Oryzias latipes: one gene and its partner. The protein of the gene in region 1 interacts with the protein of each later gene in a pairwise test. Links are inferred from orthologs where the notes say so. Each region holds a gene or a part of one and is shown in the gene's direction. Other genes may lie near its edges.

What was found. The genes of interacting proteins can lie anywhere in the genome.
Region 2: the proteins of NGFI-A-binding protein 2 (region 1) and zmynd19 interact in binary tests that used the Homo sapiens proteins (3 or more experiments, as listed by UniProt). The two-hybrid records come from large-scale screens. The link is inferred for Oryzias latipes from reciprocal best matches to the Homo sapiens genes NAB2 and ZMYND19.

What each region holds. Positions count from the first base shown.
Region 1 is NC_019863.2:27,736,962-27,740,949, reverse strand, and holds the start of NGFI-A-binding protein 2, read left to right. Parts: upstream 1-1,173; 5' UTR 1,174-1,607; intron 1,608-1,778; 5' UTR 1,779-1,844; intron 1,845-2,054; 5' UTR 2,055-2,072; coding exon 2,073-2,969; intron 2,970-3,074; coding exon 3,075-3,229; intron 3,230-3,988. UniProt on the Homo sapiens protein: Acts as a transcriptional repressor for zinc finger transcription factors EGR1 and EGR2. Isoform 2 lacks repression ability.
Region 2 is NC_019870.2:12,313,481-12,316,117, forward strand, and holds part of zmynd19 (zinc finger MYND domain-containing protein 19), read left to right. Parts: intron 1-1,164; coding exon 1,165-1,224; intron 1,225-1,308; coding exon 1,309-1,415; intron 1,416-2,062; coding exon 2,063-2,203; intron 2,204-2,377; coding exon 2,378-2,558; intron 2,559-2,637. UniProt on the Homo sapiens protein: May be involved as a regulatory molecule in GPR24/MCH-R1 signaling.

The sequences.
Region 1 (3,988 bases):
GTGATTTGCTTTTGTGAATAGCTACCATCTACAATGTGCATTTTTATAAATTATTTATGACAGTTTTTAAAGTTTAAGTAAAAGTTGAATAAGTCACAAAATGCATGATATAAATTATAAAATGTCTTTAAAGATTTTGTCAGCTCACATTATTAAAGGATTCATCTCTAAGAGACAAAAAGTTAATAATCCGAGAGACAAAGCTTTATTTAAAAACATTAAGATTTTATGATTGGCCCAGTGTTTTATCTGATAAAATCCATTCAACTGCATAAAAGGTTTTATTTACATGGTTGTTTGTTTATTTAGTCAACACTTTATTAAATTATTTAATTTGTTTGGATCAAAATAGAAATAGCTCTATGAGAAATCGTACTTTTTACTTGATCTAATTCACCAAATTTGTCTGTCATGGGTAAAATCTGTGGACCCTGAGTGTTTCTTTATGAATCAATGACTTGTTTTTAAAAACTATTATCTTGCAGTAAAAAAAAAGAAGAAAATAATATAAAGGATTTTGATTGACTAACCTTAAAGAGCTCATAACAATTTAGCCAATCTAATTTCTTAGAAATTAAAAATTTCTCAAAATTCTATTTTAACATGGTAATTTAATGGTCATATGGTAATTTGGTAATTAAAAAAAAAGGGATTGATTTTTTTTACATTTAATACTTTTTTGACCGGTACTTCAAAACTTTGAAAGAGGTTTAAAGTTATCCAGATTATCAAATCCTTAGATCTGACTCTGATCAATTATTCTTATGCTGGTTTTTCAAAACTTTGCTGGATCAAATTCTCTCGAATGGCCACTGGGCCTTAATAAATTCACCTCTTCAGTTGGACTTCAGTTAGAGCATTCTTGTTGTTTTATGAGATATCAAGTCATTAGAGCTTATCTAACCCATAACTTCCCCCCATTTTGTTGTTGTAGGTAGGAATTCTGCAAACACAGAATTTGTCTTTCAGTCTGCTTTTTTAAAAACATTGGCTTGCAGGTAAAACAAAAAACAATAACATTTTAATTTAAAAAGTCACGTGACATATTTGGTTACTGCGTTGCAGGGATTGTTGCATCACAACCTCACCAGACAGTCAGTAATGATGGAAAACCTCACAAACACATATTGTTTTTGGAGTGTTTTTTGTTTTTTATCACTTTAACAAATTAAACTCTTAAAAACGTACACATTTAGCTGTCTTTGATCCATCAACACTAGTTTGTCAAAAACCTTTCTGGTGAATTAATAGACTGCAGGGATTTCTGCTGGAGTCCAACACATCACAACCGTTGTTTGGGGTCTTTGACGCGACCAAACCCGGGAATCCCCCAAAGCTCCATCCAGCCAAAGACGCACAGGGTTCATTTTAAGCCCCCACCACCACCACCCACACCTTCCATTTGAAAGCCGCCTCTCTACCGGGAGAGGAAGGCTCTTTTTCGGTCAGATGGCGTGCTGCAGTCCGCCCCCGTCATTCTCCAGCCCACACAGACAGCAAAAGGCAGCCAGCAACCAATACGTTGCGCCGGAGGAGGATTTCTGCCAGCGATTCCGGCGAAAGGGATTTACTACGACAATCCGAGCCGCGGACAAGGACGGAGAGAGGTAAGAGAACCGAACCGGGTCAGGATCAGCGGGATGGGAGGCGGAGAAGAAGGTCCTAAACATCTGGATGTGGAGCAGCTGTTTCCGGTCTTGGTTTTAGTCAGAGCAGGGGAAGCCACAGGGGTTTCTGTTAAAGTTATTTTCTAATCGATGTCATGTTTTATTTGTCAGACTCACCTGGAAGGACTGCTCTGTGTTTATTCACAACTTCATTGAATAAAAAAACAACAAAAAAAGGTAAGAAAAACTTCCTGCATTGGTGTTTTCCACATCATTTTTGTTTCTTTACATTGTTTAATTTTTGTTAAATACATGCATGAACAAACTGAATAAATGACTGTTATTTAACTTTCATCATTATGGATTTTTATTTGTAATAAGCAGTTATAAGAACTACTTTCTTGTGGAGGATTTCTCAGTTCACCTTCATGTTTCCCGCGCCTATAGGCTCTCCAGCGGTGTGCCATGTCTTTGCCACGCACACTTGGGGAGTTGCAACTCTACCGGGTGCTGCAGAGGGCCAACCTGCTGGCCTACTATGAGACCTTCATCCAGCAGGGCGGTGACGACGTGCAGCAGCTCTGCGAGGCTGCGGAGGAAGAGTTTCTGGAAATCATGGCATTAGTTGGCATGGCCACCAAGCCACTGCATGTGCGTAGGCTGCAGAAGGCTCTTCGAGACTGGGCGGCCAACCCAGCCCTTTTCAGCCAGCCAGTTGCCAATGTTCCTCTGGCGGGCATCCCACTGTTTAAGGTGGACGGGATGGGGATAAGCGGTGAGCCCAGGAAGTCTTTGAGTAACGGGCAGCCAGAGTCCCCCTGTGACAGAGAAGACCGGGCGTGTCTTACCCCGATGCACAGTGGCAGTCCGAGGAGCCCCTGCTCCCAGGCTTCCCCACAACCTCCTGAGACACACTACAGAGAAAAGCTGTCCCCCTTGGACCCGCACTGGCTCAGCACCGAGCCGGACGCTAACGGTGCTCTGGCGTCAACCTCCGAAGTAGAAGAGGAGCCGCTCAGCCCGCCCATGCTGTCAACATGCCCTCCTGGCCCCTCCGTATCTCCAGGGCCATCTTTTACACCAACAGGTCTGTCGGCGTGGCCCGGAGGACAGCTGGACGCGGAGACGGTGAGGGCGGTGGCAGAGAGTGTTGACCGGCTCTTCAGGACCCTGCCCCGGTCGGATTCTGCGGAGGTGAAGACTCTGCTGAGGATGAACAAGAAAATGTCAAAGACCGTGGGCCACATTTTCAGCATGGGGCCCCTGAACGCAAACAAAGAAGAGGAGATCCGAAAATACAGTCTTATTTATGGACGCTTTGACTCCAAGAGGAGAGAAGGCAAGCAGCTCACACATCATGAGGTAAAAGCTTGAAGTCGAGACGACCAGAATGCAATTTCTACCCTAAATTGACCATCAAATCATGATAAATAGTTTTTATCTTCATGGTGTCCGTTCCTGTTTCAGTCAGTGTTTTCCCCTTTGCAGCTGATCATCAATGAAGCTGCAGCCCAGTTCTGCATGCGGGACAATGCACTTCTGCTGAGGCGGGTGGAGCTCTTTTCTCTGGCCCGGCAGGTGGCCAGAAAGTGCGCATACACCTCCACCCTAAAACATGCGAGGTGAGGATGCAGAGGCTCCGGTGGAAAACACAGCATCCAAAAAACAATGCAGCACACAAACACAGAAAAACAAAATTTAGAAATTAGCTTTCATACTTTATAGAGGATGTGAGTCACATGCCCCCCCAGGAGGTTCAGAAGCCTGGTTCAGATCTAGAATTAAACTCCAGCCTCTGTGGTTTCACTCAAACTTGCAAACTCTAAAAGCAACAAACAAAAAAAAAGGTTCTCTGCAAAAATGTGCTGCTAAACTACATATCTTCACTTGTCATTATAGGATCATATTCCCACATACTTTTCAATATTAGAAGCTTTTCTGTTGGTTTTCACTTAAAGAAGAAATAACTTGCCCTATCAAATCAGTGTTGTAGCAGGACGATACAGAAAAAGTTGTTCTAAACTCACCAAATGAGAAGATTTCTTTTTGACAGTTTCAGCCTTAGGATATTTCTTATACTTAAATGAGTTACTCCTTCTAATTATGAGTAGGTTTATTTTTTGTAGAAATATTAGTTCAAATTCGGATGTGGAGAGAATGAATCTATCTGGCGATTATCCCTGTAAACTTTGGGCAAGTCACCAATCCATCATTAATTTAGGTGTTTCTGATTGATACGTCCATCAGTGAACAGACTAAAAGTCAAGTATCTTTTCAACTTTTGCTCCAGTTGATTGTCTGGAATTTACAACTTGAAGAAGATTTCTTCTTTTTGTCAAAAAGAGGTTATTTTTGACAAAGAGATTTCCTGTTTTTTTGTC
Region 2 (2,637 bases), on another chromosome or scaffold:
CAAATACCTGAATCTCAGACTCAAATGGAGTATAAGGTCAAACTACTTAATTTTGTTTTTCTTTACAACACTGTAAGCAGTAAGTATTTCTAGTTAGCTGAATGATCTCAGTAATTTAATTGTATTTAATTTTTCAATTATTTAATTTAATTAGGTAACTAAAGTAACTAAAAAGTAAATGTAACTTTGCAACAGTAACAAAAAGCAGAACCTTAAGGCAGTCAGGGCAAAAGAGTCAATAAAACTTCTTAACTATTGATTAGGAACAAATGTGAAATAGCAGTGATTAGAAGCAGCATGAAAACTTTTTAACTAGTGTTAACTACTACACTGCAGGGCTCCCTTCAAAACATCTGAAACAGACTAGAGCAGATTTAAGTTTGATATGCTCTATTTTTAGTCATTGAAAAGTGTATAAATAAGTGCTAGATGTCACCAGAATGCACCAAATTGCACCATATTAAAATTTTCCGGGGGGGGGGGGGGCATGCCCCCGGACCCCCCTAAAGTTGCAAGCACCTGCGGAGCGGCGGGTCTCGCTGTGCGCGGTGTCGGGCCAGTAACTTTCAAAAACTACTGGCCCTGTGGGCCAGTGCAAATTTCTGGGCTATGTCAACCCCTGCAAATGTGCAAAAAAAACTCATGGCAGCCTGAAATAGTGAACAAATGCAATTAATCCCTTTATGCATTTAACCAATCGGAAGGACCCGTTTACCTTGTTGATCAATCAGATGGAGCCCTTTTATGTTTGATGTTTGCCTCCTACGTCGACAAGGGTCATTTGGAGTATAATTTTTAAACCTTTGCAGTGAAATGTAAATGATGTTTTTGGTTGTTTGGCTATTTGTTTATATACAGCAAATTATATCGTTATCGCGATATTAATCACCAATATCGCATATCGCGAGTTTTCCTCATATCGTGCAGCCCTAACAGTCACTAATAATCAACCAATTTTGGTTCTGCAATCACAAAGCTTTTACTGGGCATTAAGGAGACCAAAAAAAATGTTTTTTTATCTTTAGAATCAAATTTTTGAAATGTGGTTTTGAGCTTCTATTCCCCCCCCCACACACATTCAGAGAAAAACTGTGATTTGGTTTGCTTTGTTTTAGAAGTTATGCTTCCATTTGGTGCTGATGCATTTTTTTAATTTTTTTATAGACAAAATACACTCTAATTGATGAGCAGGACATACCACTGGTGGAAAACTATGCCTTTGAGGTAAAACCTTTTGATTTTTTTCAGCTGTAACTGCAGTGTTTTTGCCATTTTCCATGCTACAACTGCAGCTGGTTCCATTTTCAGGCACGCATGGAGGTAGATGCAGATGGCAACGGGGCTAAAATCTTTGCTTATGCTTTTGATATCGGCAAAGGACGGTGGGCAGGCAGACCGCTGCATGAGCTGCTGTGGTGAGTACCTTTAGGTGGAATTGATCCTTTTAGGATAAATGTATGCCAATCCAAGCATATATGTAAAACACTAAATGTACATCAGATGCTCTACCTTATCACCATGGAATTATGCAATATTTTAAATTCCCAAATTCCCTAAAAATGACAAGATCATTTGCGAAGGCCTCATTGCTTTGGAAGTGTCATTTCGTTACATTGTAGAAGGATTTTCAAGGCTGCAACACACATCAACAAGTTCTCTGATCAGAACCGGGAATGCCAGTCAGACCACTATGCCTCACCAGATGAATTTTTGGGGAAATTATTCCAACCAGTACAACTTGATGCTCCATCGCTCTTTAACTCCCATTTGACCCTTTCAGGATTTTCCTGATTGGATTAAGTGAGGTTGGCCTCCACTGTTTCCTTGGCATAAGTAGAGTCAGCTCGGGTTCCACCTGTGTATATATTATCAGAATACACTGAAATCTGAATAAAAAATGTTTTAAAAAATTACTCCCCCAGAGATTAAGTTTAGTGTCATTACTTAAAAAATATCATCTTAAAACCTACAATTCTAGTTGTCCTGTTTACAACATGGAATATTAGATGTACGGTAATCTGTTTGTTTTTTTGTCACGTTGGTAACTGTTGTCTATACTCAGGGAGAAGCACAGAGGAGGCATTGCTCCTAGTTTCCAAGTCATCCACATTAATTCTGTGACGGTGGACAACCGACTAGATAACCTACGGCTGGTACCGGTGGGCTGGAGCCCCAAGCCAGAGGAGATTTCAAGCAAGCAGAGGTAGGAAAAAGATTGAGCTGTTTCACAAAGTACCCTTTCTCTTGCTAAAGGCGACTGTCCCTACACAACACTACAGTTCCTCCTCTCTGAGAAGCTCAAGTCACTGATTTTTTTTTTCTTTTTCAATTTTGATCTTTGAGATTTACGCCTTGTGTTTTTTTTGTTCCCGTCCAGAGAGCAGTCTCTGTACTGGCTGGCCATCCAGCAGGTCCCCGCGGACCCTGTGGAAGAGCAGTACCTGGAGCTGAGTCGCACACGCTACTACAATGCTAACGGGGAGCTGGTGGAGGAGGAGGAGTGCTCCTGTACCTATTACGAGTGCCATTACCCTCCTTGTTCACTCATCGAGAGGAGGGTAGGTCTTTTTTAACCTGAGTTATTACAACATGGAAAGTGTCAGAGGGTAATGAATGATCTTTTGTGTCTTTTGACAG